Macaca fascicularis: one gene and its partners. Each later gene encodes a partner of the first gene's protein in a complex. Links are inferred from orthologs where the notes say so. Each region holds a gene or a part of one and is shown in the gene's direction. Other genes may lie near its edges.

Region 1 (6,044 bases):
ACTGAGCTGAGATCAAGCCATTGCACTCCAGCCTGGGCTACAGAGTGAGACTACATCTCAAAAAAAAAAAAAAAAAAAGGCTGGGCATGGTGGCTCACGCCTGTAATCCTAGCACTTTGGGAGACCAAGACAGGCAGATCACCTGAGGTCGACCAACATGGAGAAACCCCATCTCTACTAAAAATACAAAATTAGCTGGGCGTGATGGCACATGCCTGTAATCCCAGCTACTTGGGAGGCTGAGGCAGAAGAATGGCTTGAACCCGGGAGGTGGAGCCTGCGGTGAGTCGAGATCGCGCCATTGCACTCCAGCCTGGGCAACAAGAGCGAAACTCTGTCTCAAAAAAAAAAAAAAAAAAAAAAAATTTTAACTTGGCTGAGCATGGTGGCTCACGCCTATAATCCCAGCACTTTGGGAGGCTGAGGCAGGTACATTACCTGAGCTCAGGGGTTCAAGACCAGTCTGGGCAACATGATGAAACCCCTGTCTCTACCAAAAATACAAAAAAATTGGCCAGATGTGGTGGTGTACCCCTGTAATCTCAGCTACTAGTGAGGCTGAGCCAGGAGAATTGCTTGAACCTGAGAGAGGCAGAGGTTGTAGTAAGCCGAGATCGTGCCACTGCACTCCAACCTGGGCAACAGAGTGAGACTTTGTCTCAAAAAAAAAAAAGACCTTAAGTGGCATTGACAGTGTTTGTGATTCTAGAATCAGGCTACATTTCATTCCATAAAATAAATAGAATGAGTATTCAGATGAGTCAAGCACAGGTTAGTTTTATGGATGAAAAAGGGCAGAGAAAAATAGAAACAGAAGAAAAAAAAGTAGATTGGTCATTTCAAAGTTACTTGTCTTGTAAAGGTTAAAGAAGAAAGGACTTCCGTATCATGCCGGCTAAAACTGGCCTGTTTGGGGTTTTGGCTGTTCCTTCTCTCTCCTGATTCCTCTGAAGGTTTGATAAACAACTTAGTGTTGCTTAGTGACATGGAACTTTAGCATGAGTGACTCCATTTTGGTTTGGTCTGTTGGGCCTAGCACAGGAGCTCAGTGCAAACCAATAGCCTCCTATATAATTGAACCCTTGTGCATCGCTGGTGGGAATATAAAATCGCTGCAGCTACCATGGAAAATCATATGGCGATTCCTCAGAACATTAAACAGAATTACCATAGGATCCAGCAATTCTATCTGTGGGTGTATATCCAAAATAATTGAAAGCAGAGACTCGAACAGATATCTGTACACTCACATTCAAAGCAGCAACATTCACAACAGCCAAAGGGTGGAAGCAACCCAAATGTCCATGGAGGGATGAATGGTTATGCAAAATGTGGTACATCTATACAACGTAATATTATTCAGTTGTAAAACGGAAGGAAATTCTGACACATGCTACAAAATGGAAGGATCTTGAAGATATTAAGTGAAAGCAGCCAGACCCAAAAAGACAAATACTGTATAATTCTACTCATATCAGGTGCCTAGAGTAGTCAAGGGGAAGTTACTGTTTAATCGCTATAGAGTTTCAGTTTGGGAAGATGAGAAAGTTCTAGAAAAGAATGGTGGTGACGGTTACAGAGCAATGTGAGTGTACTTGATGCCACAGAACTGTATGCAGTAATTACAAATGGTTACAGTGGTAAATTTTGGCCAGGAGTGGTGGCTCATGCCTGTAATTCCAGCATTTTGGGAGGCCGAGGTAGGAGGATTGATTGAGGTCAGGAGTTCAAGACCATCCTGGGCAACACGGTGAGATCCTCATCTTTATAAAAATACATTTTAAAAATTTAAAAATTACCTGGGCGTGGTAGCACACGCCTGTAGTCCCAGCTACTCGGGAGGCTGAAGTGGGAGGATCACTTAAGCCAGAAGTTCGAGGCTACAGTGAGCTATGATCTTACCACTGCACTCCAGCCTGGGCGACAGAGCGAGACACTTCTAAAAAATAAAAAATGAAAAGGTAACATACATGTGTATGTATTGTAACACCATTGAAACATAGAAATTTAAACGAAGAAAAGCTGGCTTCTAGCCCTTGGACCTAGCAAAGCTGGCAGAGTCCTCACCTACCAATATAGGTAGGTGACTCCTTACACGTGGACAAGCACGTCCACCTGGTCGCTTCGCCCCTACCCTCCCCTCCCTTCCCCTTCCCGCGTCTCCCCTCCCTTCCCCTTCCCGCGTCTCCCCTCCCCTCCCCTCCGCTCCCCTCCCCTCCCCCACACATCCATGTTCCGACCCTGCCACCCCTAACAAGTCTCACTGCGCAGGCGCGGAGCGGTGGGCAGGAGCAGGCGTGGCCTGACTGTGCGCTTGTGCCGAATTCCAGCTGCGACTGCTGAGGAAGAAAATGATGCCCAGGTTGGGCTCCACGGCCCACCGGCCGAGGAGAGGCCTGCGCTGCACACGCGCAGACCGAGCATCCGCGTCAAGAGGCGAAGAGAGCGCGCGCTCCCCACGTCCTGCGCGCCTGGCTGCCAGGCATTCGTCTCAGCCGTGACTCTCGCCAGGCCGGGGCTGGGGCGCCCACGTCTGAAGAGCGATGCCCCGGGAGATCATCACCCTGCAGCTGGGCCAGTGCGGCAACCAGAGTGAGCAAGCGAGCGCCGCCCCCACCGGTCTCTGGTTCTGCCCCTTTGGGTCCCACCCAAGTGCCTGGCTTCCACCAGTCCCCCTTCCCCTTCCATGAACCCCCTAGCCTGCTGCTCTGGATAACCCAGACCGAGAGCTGCGCTCCCAGCCCGGGACTGGGGCAGCCACCAGACCCAGGCATCTTGGGTCCACCCTCTGATCGTGTCGGCCTCTGAGACTAAAACTGGGCTCCTCAGGCCTTAAGGCTCCAGCAGACCCGGGCATCTCCCCCCTCCCCCAGTTGGGTTCGAGTTCTGGAAACAGCTGTGCGCTGAGCATGGTATCAGCCCCGAGGGCATCGTGGAGGAGTTCGCCACCGAAGGCACTGACCGCAAGGACGTCTTTTTCTACCAGGTGCCCCCAGCGACTTGGCCAAGGGCGGCAATGGCCCGAGGGGCCAGAAGGGAAGGGAGTGGCCTGGTACTGGGAACCCTGCTGGGCAGTGGGGCCAGGCGGCTGGCTTGAGGAGGGAGGGCTGGAGGGAGCCAGAGTTGGGAGGACTTAGGACTTGGGCCACCCTAGCTGATTGGGCCCCCTCCTGGACTCCCCTTGACAGGCAGACGATGAGCACTACATCCCCCGGGCCGTGCTGCTGGACCTGGAGCCCCGGGTGATCCACTCCATCCTCAACTCCCCCTATGCCAAGCTCTACAACCCAGAGAACATCTACCTGTCGGAGCATGGAGGAGGAGCTGGCAACAACTGGGCCAGTGGATTCTCCCAGGTGTCCGGGCGACTATTCCAGAGACCTTTGATAGTCCCATCCAGAGGCAAGGGAGGCTCAAGCTACTAGGAATTTGACCAGACTGCCAGAAAATAAGAGACAAAAGGATTCCCCAAACAAGAGGGACAGCCAGGGAGAGGTTTATGCAAATTTTGTGCAAATCATTTGCAATAGTAGCACTTCTGGGTTGAGGGCTACAGCCTAGGCTTTGCTTCAGGGTGGCAACAGTATTCCAGGGTAGACAGTGCTGTACTGAGAAAAGATGCGCTCTGGAACCTTTGGCCTGACCCTCCCTTTCCATGTCTCTATACAGGGTGAGAAAATTCATGAAGACATCTTTGATATCATAGACCGAGAAGCAGATGGAAGTGACAGTTTAGAGGTGAAGTTATGGAGTGGGGGAAGGAATGGGCAGGGAGGCTGAAGAGTGCTGGGGAAACGTCAGGAGGTGGCCTGGATAGGTGATGTGAGGGGAGCAATTCAATTCAAAACCCATTTATGGAGCATCAGATGTGGGATATTGAGGTGAATAAAATATAATCTTTGTTCTTAAGGAAGTCATAAATCTGAATGGCACTGGCCCCTTAGGCATGAGTCACTCAGCTTCTCCAGCTCCAAACCTTCCCAAGGAGCCTCAGCCTGGATGCGTAAGAGGAAGCTTTGAGACATGGGCGTTTTGGGAATGGGGAATGAGCCATGCCGAAGTCTTCCCCCAGATCCTTGGAGACTGCCTCTCCGTCTCTCCCCATGCTGGGCGCGATGTGTTCCTGGCTTACAACTCTTATAACCCATGTAATTTCCTAAGGGACTAGAGCAATAAGAGTATGTTTTGTTACAATATTTGACCTTTCGTCCTTGGTTTCTGAAACAGCTCCAGAACAGCTCCAGAGTGATAAAGGTGAAAGACAGTCTTTTGTTATTTATAACAAGCCCCTTTCTTTTAGATTAATCTTTCATTTTATTTTAATTAGTTAATTTTACTAACCGCTGTACTAAGGAGGAACAAGTGCATTTCAACCAAACCTGAGCTTATGTTAAAGAGGCGATTTTTTGGAAAGTCCCAGATAGCCACTGGATGGGGTGTTGGTTGCCAGGGGAACAAACCTGGTGCTCTGAGGGTTGGAATTTACAGGCCCATCCCTCACCTCTGGGGAAGGGAGAGGGATGAAGATTGAGTAGAGCACCAATTGTCAATGATTTAATCAGTCATGCCTGTGTAATGAAGCCTCCATAAAAATCCAAAAGGACTGAGTTCGGGGGCTTCCAGGAAGGTGAACAAGAACACATCCACAGGCCGGGAGGCTGCAAACCCAGCACCACAGGGCAGCAGCTCCTGTGCGCCGGAACCTTCCAGAGCTTCCCCTCGGTATCTCTTCATCTGGCTGTTTATTTGTATCCTTTAAAATATCCTTTATAACAAACGGGTAAACGTAAGTGGGTGTCTCCTTGAGTTCTGCGAGCTACTCTAACAAATTAATTGAACCCAAGGAGCAGTCCTGAGAACCCCAATTTATAGCCGGTTGGTCAGAGGCACAGATAAAACAACCTGAAGCTTGTATTGGCATTGGAAGTGGGAGAGTCTTGTGGGACTGAGCCTTCACTCTGTGGGATCCGATGCTATCTTTAGGTACGGATACTTCTCAACTTACAGTGGGTTTATCAGGACATCACAAATTGAAAATATTGACTAGGCACAGTGGCTCATGCCTGTAATCCCAGCACTTTGGGAGGCTGAAGCGGGTGGATCACCTGAGCCCAGGACCTGGGCAACATGGTGAAACCCCATCTCTGCAAAAAATACAAACATCATCCAGGCATGGTGCTGCCTGTAGTCCTAGCTACTTGGAGGTTGAGATAGGAAGATGCCTTGAGCCCAGGAATTCAAGGCTGCAGTGAGCTATGATCACACCACTACACTGCAGTCTGGGGGACTGAGTGAGATCCTGTCTCTAAAACCAAAACAAATTTCAGGCTGGGCGCGGTAGCTCATGCCTGTAATCCCAGCACTTTGGGAGGCCGAGGCGGGTAGATCAATTGAGGTCAGGAGTTCAAGGCCAGCCTGACCAAAATGGTGAAACCCCATATCTACTAAAAATACAAAAATTAGCCAGGCATGGTGGTGCATGCCCATAGTCCCAGCTACTTAACAGGCTGAGGCAGGAGAATGGCTTGAACCTAGGAAGCAAAGGTTGCAGTGAGCCAAGATTGGGCACTACAGCCTGGGTGACAGAGCAAGACTCCGTCTCAAAAAAAGAAAAAAAAATTGAAAATATTGTAAGTAGAAATGTGTCAGGTTATAACCCAATTAGCCCATCATGAAGTTGAAAAATTGTAAATTGAACCGTTGTAATTCAGATGCTTCTTGATTTAAGATGGGATTACATCCTGATAAACCCATCATAAAGCCAAAACATCTTAAATTAAACCATCCTAAGTCAGGGACAGTCTGTAGGTAGTCCAGAATTCAAGTGAATTAGTGGATACCCAGCTGGCATCTACTGTAGAATTGGCTGCTTACCTGATGTGTGTGGTAAAACCCCACCCATCTGGTATCAGAATTGTGTTGTGAGAGTGTGGCAGGAGAAACTGAGTCTGTTTATTCCTGTATACACACAGGGCTTCGTGCTGTGTCACTCCATCGCTGGGGGTACAGGTTCTGGCCTGGGCTCCTACCTCCTGGAGCGACTG
Region 2 (5,267 bases), on another chromosome or scaffold:
CCACTGCACTCCAGCCTGGGCGACAGAGCGAGACTCTGTCTCAAAAAAAAAAAAAAATGAATCCCAATTTAGAGAGGTCAAGGCTTAACGCTTGATCATGACCTAGCTCTATGTGTTTATTTTTGTTTTTAAAACCAAGAATTCTGAACCACAAGAATCAATAACAACAAGGTTCTGACCCACGTGGGAGTTGTGCTGCCAGGTGGCCACGTGACTCTGAGCCTACCCAATCCTGACTCCCCATTTCCCTCCTCTAATTTTTGACAGTTTCGAGGGAATGCTTTCAGATTGTTATAATTTTTATTATTCCTTCCGTATTTGGTACTTGTTCTTGGTTTTGATTTTATGTCCTACCCTGGTCTTTTGATGTAAGTCATCTCCCAGTCTCTCTCCTTGGAGCTGCGACGTTCCTGCCTTTGTGACCTTAAAGCTCCCTTTGGAGCTGTGTCCCTGAGGCGTCCTGGCCTTGTGGTGCATGTTGAGTACAGCGGCTCCTGAGGGCCTGGCCGGTTTTTGCTGGGCATGTTCTGTGCTGGACATGGTGCTAGGCCTCTGTTCACGTCTCCCTCAGCCCTGGCGCCGCGCTGTGTGTGGCACGTAAGGAGACTGGGTCGTGCTGCCACGTGCAGAGACAGTTTGCACTTGCCCTGTGCCTGACCAGCCCTGAGTGGGAGTCAGTGCTTCCGAAAGCTGGGCCAGCCCAGGCCGACCTGTCAGCTTCCGGCGGCCACTGGCACAGGAGGGCAGGCGCTCTGACCACATGTCAGGAGCCAGCCTGTCGCGCTGGGGCCGTTCTCCAGCAGGGTAAGGACGCAAGTCTATTGCTAACACCTGTCTTCACCCAGCAAGTGGTGTTCAGACCTAGTCACTGCCAGGAAGAAGCAATTCAGCTTGTTCATGGGGTACCCTCCTCTGAAACAGCGGCTCTGTGCCAAGGTGCCCCCTCTCCTGTGGTTCCCACTGCTGGTGCCCATGGTTTCCCAGGGGGCCCTTGCTGGACCTGGACTCCTGAGAGGAGGGGCTGGGGCTCCCCATCTGCCCTGTTCTCCCCAGCCCCTCGTGTGGCAGGGATATCGAGCTGCATTTCATTTCTATGTGGCTGACTCTTTGTGGGTGCTAAATTGACTAATCATCTTTGCTGTAGATGTTAGTTTCTACAGGTGTATTGAGTGTTTGCACTAAAGTGTATCTTTCTGGTTTTGTTTTTAAAAATGTCCTTGCTAGTCTCTGGAACTTAAAAGAAAGATGCTTCGAGACAAGCAGAACAAAAAAAATTCGGGCCAGCACCTCCCTGTCTTCCCAGCGTGGGTGTATGAGAGACCTGCCCTGATCGGGGATTTCCTGATTGGTGCTGGCATCAGCACAGACACCGCTTTGCCGATAGGTACGTGATGCGTTTATTTCCGGGCTCTGCCGATAGGTATGTGATGGGTTTATTTCTGGCCCCTGGGCAGGACACTCTGAGGCCCAGCCCTCCCCTGGGCCTGCCCTTCCTCAGGTTGTGAGGCTCGATGCTGACTGGCCGCTGCCTCCATATTCCTATCCCAGGGTGGCAGCAGAAAGTGGCTCCCCTGGGTCCTTGAGGGTTCTTCTCCCGTCCCTCCTGCCAGAGCTGTGGGGCAGCCTACAGCAGGCCCCTCCCCAGCTGGCATCCTGGTGCCCTGGTGCAGACCTGCAGGCACCAGAATTGTGTGCAGCACTTACTTCTGAACAGCGGTTCATAACTCCCATAGATTCTGTTCCCAGAGGCCTCTTAAAGTAGTGCTCGTGTAAACAAGATGCAAGTGAGACCACACAGTCATTTCAAGGCATGTTGTTGGGGACCCGGGGTGTGTTCATCTGTCACAATTCATGGGTACATTTTTATCTATTTTTAATTCTTTTGAGATGGAATCTCACTCTGTCGCTGGAGAGCAGTGGTGCGATCTCGGCTCACTGCAACCTCCACCTCCCAGGTTCAAGCAATTCTCCTGCCTCAGCCTCCCAAGTAGCTGGGACTGCAGGTGCCACCACGCCCAGCTAATTTTTGTATTTTTAGTGGAGGTGGGGTTTTGCCATGTTGGCCAGACTGGTCATGAACTCCTGACCTCTGGTGATCTGCCCACCTTGGCCTCCCAAAGTGTGGGATTGCAGGCGTGAGCCACCACACCTAGTCAAGTACATTTTTAGATTGAAAAATGAGATTTCACGAACTTAAGGACAGAGATACCTGCTTGTCTTGCTTGTCTTGCCTCTGCCTATTAGTCCAAACTCAAGAGGCAGCGTGGAACGCGATCTGCTTTCCCACTGCTCGCGCAGCTCTGCGGTGTAGGCACCGAGAGGCCAACCCTTGCCTTTGCCAGAAACCCTGGAGAACGGTGACATGAAATCCACCTGTTTTCCTCATTCCCAACAAACAGAACTCTGCTGTAAGTTAATGAAAAGTGTAGAAAACAGTCTACTTTGGCCGGGCGTGGTGGCTCACACCTGTAATCCCAGCGCTTAGGGAGGGTGAGGTGGGTGGATCACCTGAGCCCAGGAATTCGAGACCAGCCTGGGCAACATGACAAGACTAGTCTCTACAAAAAGTATAAAAATTAGCCGAGTGTGGTAGCGGGCACCTGTAGTCCCAGCTCCTCAGGAGGCTGAGGTGGGAGATCACTTGAGCCTGGGAGGTCGAGGCTGCAATGAGCTGTGATCATGCCACTGCACTCCAGCTTGGGCAACAGAGTAAGACCCTGTTTCAAAAAAAAAGAAAACAGTCTGCTTTGTGCAGTGTGTTTTCAGTAATAATCCAACTGTGAAGAGTTAGGGAGAGAGAGCCGCTCCCTTAGCAGGTATTTAGCGGGCGGCTGGGGCAGCAGTGGGCATCTGAGAGCTCCTGATGATGCCCAGGGAGGCTTCAGAGAAGGACGCGCGGGTCCCTGGTGCCCGAGATCCCGGCAGTGGAGCACAGCGGAACCAGCTTTCTGGAGCAGGAAGCACTGAGGGGGGTGTTCAGGCTTTCCCCCCATGTTTCCCCATCCAGGGAAGGGGCTGTGTCCAATAATGCTGGGTGCCATGGGCAGCTCTGAGCATGGCGGTGATTGGAAGCAAGTGTGTGGGACTTGGCTGTGAACCCTGCAGCCGGCTCTCAGGTCAGGGTGCGGGTGCCCTCGGCACACTCAGCGCCCTAGGGAAGGGGCGGCCTTGCCCCACCTCCCTCCCACGGCCACAGGTCCCAGGCGTGCCACCGGCATCGAGCCTGCCTCGCCTCCCTTTGTCCGCACTGTCCCCGCCCCCTCGTGCCGCCTGCGCAGACTCGAGAATGGAGCTCACTGTGGTGTTCGTGCGGGGCCTGTCCAGCCCTTACCCCACGATTTGACCAGTGCCACACCACGGGACCTTGCATGACCTGGGGCCAGCGTCCTCTGGAAAACACCCCTGGAGTGGTGTGTGATGAGGACACGTGCCTTGGAAAGCATCAGGACCTTGTGAGCACGAGGCGGCTGCCAGCCCTCCACGTTCCCGCCGTGCCTCTCCACAGTGTGGGCGTCCACCTGGCCAGCGCCGCCGCGGCAGCGTCCTCCCTCTCGTCGCTGCTGTGCAGCGTGCGGAGCTGTTTGCCTACCCGCGTCCTGCCTTTTCCCCACACCGGCACGGAGGAGCCACGTGGTCAGTGGTCGTTCGGACGTGGTGATTCGCAGACGACGACGCAGGTGTTGAGAAGACACCAAGGATGTTGAATATTGGGGAGGTGAAGCAACTGACTTCTTTTTTTCTTGAGACAGGGTCTCACTTCGTTGCCTTGGCTGGAGTGCAGTGGCGTGATCTCAGCTCACTGCAGCCTCGACCGCCCAAGCTCAGGTGATTCTCCCACCTCAGCCTGCCGAGTAGCTGGGACTGCAGGCGTGCACCATCACACGCAGCTAATTTCTGTATTTTTAGTAGAGACGGGAATTTGTCATGTTGCCCAGGCTGGTTTGAACTGGAGTCAAGCGATCTGTCCACCTTGGCCTCCTAAAGTGATGGGATTACAGGTGTGAGCCGCCGTGCCCGGCCTTGAGGTCCCTCCACAGTCAGGCAGCCGGATCCACACTAACCCCCACCCCACCGTGAGGCTTCTCCCCACATGGGCACTGGCCACTTCGTGGCTGTGGGTGAATGAGGCCAACAGGGTGGAAAGGAAGTGGTGCAGAGTCAGAGGCAGTTCCTGGAAGATGCACTTGCTGTTCTCGAACCCCCACGCCACACCTGCTGCTTTAGGAATGGCAGACCTCGGGGTCCCTGTTTTATTGGCCATCCTGAGAAGCCGCTGGAGTAATAGACAGAAATGGAACTTGAAGCTGAAAAGTGTAGATCTGCCAGCCTGGGCAACACGGCCCGACCCCGCCTCTACAAAAAATTTAAAAATTAGCCGGGAATGGTGGCATGCGCCTGTGTTCCCAGCTCTGAGGGAGGCTTAAGAGGCAGGATCGCTTGAGCCTAGGTGCTCAAGGCTGCAGTGAACTGAGATTGCACCACTGCACTCCAGCCTGGGTGACAGAGCAAGATTTGTCTCAAAAAGGAAAAAAAAACAAGGACAATGTGGATCTGCATCGTGATTGAGGCTTTTGCCGAAGGGCTTGCGTTGGTGACGGATTGCAGCTGCGCTCAGAGTCTTGAGGCCTGCAGTACAGGACACTTCCCAGCAGACGTGTGAGGCCGACAGTGATTTTGTAAACTGGAAGCGTGTTGTTTGGAGCCTTCCTGAGCTGCTAGGGCCTGGTTTGGGTGTGGTCTGGCTGGCACGGGGCCCTGTCAGGCCCACGTGGGGACAGTTTCAACATCGTGCTTTCCTCTGGTGCTCCTCCTGGCCCCCCAGGCAGGGCCCGCCTGAGGCTGTGGACTGAGAACTTGGTCCTGGGACGTGAGGGGTTTGGTAGGTGACGGCCTGTGGCTGTCCTCATGAGGAAACTTAGCTGTGTGTCCTGCAGCCGTCTCATGCTGTGTGGATAGAAATTATCAGCGTTTCTTAACGTATAAATGATAACTTTTTGAAGACAAGGTTTTTTGTACCAGAGTAACCCAGACTTACCAAGTTGTACTTACGAATGTTGAAAGTGCTGCTTCTGCTGGAGTTGCCTTTTCAACTCCTAACTTCATCTTTTCAAATGTCAGCCATTATCTGAGCATCGCAGAGCCCAGTGTGGTGAGACCTTGACACAAGCCCCTCCGCCTCCCAGGCCGGCCGCGTCCTGTGGTGGCCGGAACTCAGCCTGTGGCTGCCCAGTGGGGTCAGTCAAAGCCAAGTGCAGTGGCCGACCTTT
Region 3 (5,267 bases), on another chromosome or scaffold:
TAGGGGGCCAGTTTCATTCTTCTGCTTATGGCTAGACAGGTATCCCAGCACCATTTATTGAATAGAGAATCCTTTCCCCATTGCTTATTTTTGTTGACTTTGTCAAAGTTCAGATGGCTGTAGATGTGTGACTTTATTTCTGGGTTCTCTATTATGTTCCAGTGATCTATGTGTCTATTTTTGTACCAGTACCATGCTGTTTTGGTTACTGTAGCCTGTTGTACTTTTAAATTATTTTGGTAGTCTTGTATACATAAAGCAATGTTCATGGAACCCTTCTATTTTAACTAAATAGTTTGATATATATTTTGTTCCTTGACACATAACAAATAATATATGTTACACTGAATCTATATATTCTAAATATTTGACATGTAATTAAATTTAAGTGAATATTTTGCATACTCATGTTACTGTTGACAAAGAGTGTTTACACTTCTAATAAGAAAGAATGTTGTATCAGCCAAATGAAATGGCCACAGTAGACATGTTATTTGATATCCTGCACTGAGTAGTGGGTTTTTAAAAAAAAATTTTTATATGAGAAAATTATTATGCTATAGATTATTTCAAATCAAGCATTATAAAATATTCCTGTCTTGTTAGAATAGCCATATACAATTTTCTAGAAAATTGGTGGAAATTATCTTTTGGTATAAACTTTGTATATGTTTATAGAATTGAATTACAACTCCTAGTCTAATGATTTATATGTGATTTACGTGCAGTAAATTTTATTATAAGAATGGATTAACTAGTTGCCTGTTAATGAGAACGATGTAACAATAGACTAGGTGAAGTAATTGCATGAAACAGTATCTATGATCAGGCACATCATTCCCTGTATTGTTACATGCCATATTCATAGGCTTATTTGATAGTGTGTTTTGAGAATTCTGTATTAATAGGGCATTAGATTGTAAGTGTCTCGAAGGGGGTATTTTTTTTATGGCACAGAGGCTGATGTTGTAGGTAATGATTAAATGCTTACTGAGTGACTAAACATGGTTTGCTCCCTTGATTTGGGTTTTTTTAATCTAATGGTTGGTCTTGGGAGTTTTGTTTGTTTTGACATCAAAGGTTTGGCAGAAAGTGTATAAGGAGGTATTATCGACTTCTTAGGGTAGAAGATAAGAATACTTTTTTGTACATACTATTTCTTAGAAATATTCTTCAAAATGAATGGGAGTGTTTTAAAAAGGAAGTACTGAGGGGAGGTGACATATAACATGGTACAGGGTGGAAGGAAGTGTGTAAAAAATAGTCGTAAGTTAGTGGGCACAAAACAGCCTGTCACAGCATGCTCCTTTCTCCAGGAGGGTCTCTTCTCTCTACTTCAGATGAGAGAAAAACATGGGCTTACTCTAAAAAGTACTATGTCCCTGCTTAATACAGTCAGAAGGAGGATGTCACTTATTTCATAGTTAAACTTGTCATTGCATCCTGTACACATATAAAAGTAGAAAATAAAATGAGATATTGTTTTTTATACCTTGCGGGACTGTGACTCAGTGCTGGATTTTTAATCAAGAACCTATGCATAAGCTTTAATAATTTAATACAGAAATAGCCCAGAGTAGTTTTTACACTAATAAAAGGATATTTCTTGAAGCCTGCTGGTTTTTTGTTTTTTTTTTTTTTTAAATCACCAAACCAACTCAGTGTTTATTGGTTGAGAGAGTTCTTTGTCAGTCTTTGAATTCTAATAGTTTTACACAAAAAATAAATAAATTCTTTCTAAAAATATGTTACAAGGCATCCATCCCTGTCATCAATTTGTATATTGTGAAATTGTACTTGACTGCAGTGGTAAACACATGTAAATAAAAAGGAAAATCCTCTGTACCTGTTAGAGCACTGGGAAAAGCGTAGGTCAACAATATGCATTTTAAGTCATATAATAGTCTTAATTTAACAGAACAGTGGTTTTTCTGCTAACAGTAATTTGACATTACTAGTGATTTGAAGTGAATTGAGCCACTGCAAGACAGTCAATTTATGAAAAATTTCTCCTGCCCCTGTAAAATTAACTATTCTCAATGGTTCTAAGATTATTAATATTCATGTCTATGTTGAAATAATCCAATTTAAATATATCCTGTTGTTAAGACAGATAACTAGGTTGACAGAAAAAAGAAGCAAACTAATCTTCTGTTTTGCAGTGAGCTGATCCAGTTTATTACGAGTGGTCCTGTTATTGCCATGGAGATTTTAAGAGATGATGCTATATGTGAATGGAAAAGACTGCTGGGACCTGCAAACTCTGGGGTGGCACGCACAGATGCTTCTGGAAGCATTAGAGCCCTCTTTGGAACAGATGGCATAAGAAATGCAGCGCATGGCCCTGATTCTTTTGCTTCTGCGGCCAGAGTAAGGAGTTTTAAAAATATTTTAATTCTCTTCTAATTCTTTTAAATGTTTTATATGAAAGTAAAGCATTTCTGTCACTGGTGACTTAGGGTGGATTTATGCCACTGATCTAGTAGTAGAGAAAATCTTTGACATTTTGCTTAGTATCAAATAGTGTTTCAGTATATCTCCTTTGTGAACTGGTAACCTGATCATGATCAACGTAAGTTTTCTCCAATAAAACACTTCTCATCCTGTTTCTTGTTCCAAAGACTTAAATTACTGAGGCTCCTAAATGTTTGAATTATTGAATTCATGTAAGAATACCAGTTTACGGCTAGCAGATATTAAAAAGAAGATATAATTGGAGATATTATAAAGAAGATATAATTGGAGATATTACCTTTTGATTCAGACCTAACACTGTACTTTCAAGCTTAACATCTTATTATTTTCCTATATGTACCTAGTGTTTATGAAAGTTTCTCTACTCCTTATTTTTAAATCCATATAAATAAAGCATTATATTGGATTTATGCTGAGGTTGAATTAATGAAGTGTAAGTTTATTTTTAGCATTGTGAGAAGTGTCTCACTTAAAGTAGTTTTTAATCTGGTCGTGTTTGCAATGAAACAATATTAGACAGTTTTATAATTGATTTCCTTCTTTTTCTTACCATTTCATCAGCAAGTCCCTTCAGCTCTTTCAAAATAAACCCTGAATCTGATCATTGTGGTCTAAATCACTAATGTATTTTGCCAGAACTGCTACAATAGCCTCCAAATTATTTTTTCCTCTTTTCTTACACTCAATTTATGAAAATTTTACCTTGCCCAAGTACAATTAACTATGCCCAGTGATCTTTTAAAGACAAATCTGATTAACATTCACCTGCTGAAAACCCTTCAGTGAATTTCTGTCTCTTCTAGAATAAAATCTACAGTCTTTATTGTAGCCTCCAATACTCTATCTAGTCTGGCCCCTATCTATCTCTAACTGTATCTTTGATCAATCTCTATTTTAATCACTGTGTTCCAGGCATACTAACCATCTCACTATTCCTTAAATAGCATATTTCTGTCTAGAATAGTCAACTAACAGCAAAGAGGACAGTGTGGTTGGATAGGAATGAGAGAGGGAGGAAGAGGGTGATGAGGTTACAGAGGTAATTAGGGGAACGATTATATGGTCTTATAGGCCGTAGTAGTACTTTTAGATTTCTCTCTGAAAAAATAGAGCCATTGTAGGGTTTTGAGCAAAGGACTGATATGTTCCACTTGCCATTTAAAAGGATCATTCTGGCTGTTGCATTAAGAATGACTATAGAGGCCAGGAGTGGTGGCTTACGCCTGTAATCCCAGCACTTTGGGAGGCCAAGGCGGGCAGATTACTTGAGGTCAGGAGTTCAAGACCAGCCTGGCCAACATGGTAAAACCCTGTTTCTACTAAAAATACAAAAATTAGCTCGATGTGGTGGTGCCCACCTATAATCCCAGCTACTCCAGAGGCTGAGGCGGGAGAATTACTTGAACCAGGGAGGTGGAGGTTGCAGTGAACTGAGATCACGCCACTGTACTCTAGCCTGGGTGACAGAGTCAGACTCCATCTTGAAAAAAGAAAAAAAGAATGACAATAGAGGGCAAAAACGGCAACAGGGAGCCTAATCAGGAGTTTGTTGGAATAACCCAGCGAGATGATTGCTTGGACCCAGGTGGTAATAATGAAAGAAGTATACAAATATATTTTAAAATATATATTAATGGTTGAAGGTCAAAGAAACAAGATTTTCTGCTAGACTGAATGTAGAGTATGAGAAAAAGATATCAAGGATTACTCCAAAGTTCTTAGCCTGATTAACAGAAGGATAGAATTTACATAAACTAAAATGAGGCAAACTGTGGCTAGAGTCAGAATGAATGGACAAATCAGGAGTTACGTTTTGGACATTTGTAAACTTAACCTGTTTGTTAGTTATCCAATTAGACTGATGAATGAAAAAAATTAGTATACAGCTTAGAGTTATCAGCACATCAATGGTATTTAATGCTGGGAGACTGGTTGAGATTACCAAGGAGAAGGTGTAGATAGAGAAGGAAAGAGCACCAAAGATGAAGCTGCCTCTTGATAAAAGGTCAAGGAAAAGAAGGCAGCAAAGGAGGTTGAGGAGGAGCCACCAGAGAGGTAAGAGGAAAAACTGAGATAATTATGTCCTCGAGGCCAAGTGAATCAAATATTCTAAAATGAGAGAATGACCAGTAGTGTCAAATATGGCAGATATATCAAGTAAGAAGAGGACTGAGAATGGATTGTTAAATTTTGCAATGTGGATATCATTGGTGAACTTTGTAAGGTCAATGTTGATGGGGAGGTAGAGGCAAAACCCTGTGTGGAGTAGACTTAAAAGAAAATTGTGGGACAGGAATTGGAGTTAATGAATATAGACAACTTTTTCTTTTGAGGAGTTTTCCTGCAAAGAGATGAGGTGGTAGCTGTCAAGAAAAGCAGGATCAATTTTTTTTAAGATGAGAGGTTTTAGGTAAAAAATTGATGATGTAGGAAAAAGAGGGAGACTTGTTGGAGCAATTTCATTAATTAGGCAAAAGGGAATGGAAATTAGAACCCAGGTGGAGAGATTGGCAGGCGTGCATCTCAGGTACTCGTCTGTAGCAACAGATGGGAAGGGAGAATATGTGAACACAGATGCTGATTCTTAACTAGGAAGCAAGATCAAAACAGCTAAAAGTGAGGATGAAGGATAAGGTATTGATCGGTCTGAAGGGAGAGAAGAATATGTGAAATGGTCATCTGGAAAAGGAATAGATCAGGGAAATGTAGTGTGTGATTGCTATGCTGAATTAATGGCCCATCTCGTATTCATGGCCATGAATTATGAGTGTGGTTCTCCAGCGGGTTCAACT

The links. The genes of interacting proteins can lie anywhere in the genome.
Region 2: tubulin gamma-2 chain (region 1) and TUBGCP2 share a complex: the UniProt entries of both Homo sapiens proteins name them as parts of the gamma-tubulin ring complex. The link is inferred for Macaca fascicularis from reciprocal best matches to the Homo sapiens genes TUBG2 and TUBGCP2.
Region 3: tubulin gamma-2 chain (region 1) and NME7 share a complex: the UniProt entries of both Homo sapiens proteins name them as parts of the gamma-tubulin ring complex. The link is inferred for Macaca fascicularis from reciprocal best matches to the Homo sapiens genes TUBG2 and NME7.

The regions. Positions count from the first base shown.
Region 1 is NC_088390.1:63,715,774-63,721,817, forward strand, and holds the start of tubulin gamma-2 chain, read left to right. Parts: upstream 1-2,321; 5' UTR 2,322-2,543; coding exon 2,544-2,592; intron 2,593-2,873; coding exon 2,874-2,986; intron 2,987-3,188; coding exon 3,189-3,356; intron 3,357-3,669; coding exon 3,670-3,738; intron 3,739-4,227; coding exon 4,228-4,254; intron 4,255-4,601; exon of another isoform or gene 4,602-4,983; intron 4,984-5,972; coding exon 5,973-6,044. UniProt on the Homo sapiens protein: Tubulin is the major constituent of microtubules, protein filaments consisting of alpha- and beta-tubulin heterodimers. Gamma-tubulin is a key component of the gamma-tubulin ring complex (gTuRC) which mediates microtubule nucleation.
Region 2 is NC_088383.1:142,363,559-142,368,825, reverse strand, and holds part of TUBGCP2 (gamma-tubulin complex component 2), read left to right. Parts: intron 1-1,224; coding exon 1,225-1,384; intron 1,385-5,267. UniProt on the Homo sapiens protein: Component of the gamma-tubulin ring complex (gTuRC) which mediates microtubule nucleation.
Region 3 is NC_088375.1:26,935,616-26,940,882, reverse strand, and holds part of NME7 (nucleoside diphosphate kinase homolog 7), read left to right. Parts: intron 1-2,162; coding exon 2,163-2,370; intron 2,371-5,267. UniProt on the Homo sapiens protein: Possesses an intrinsic kinase activity. Displays 3'-5' exonuclease activity with a preference for single-stranded DNA. Does not seem to have nucleoside diphosphate kinase activity.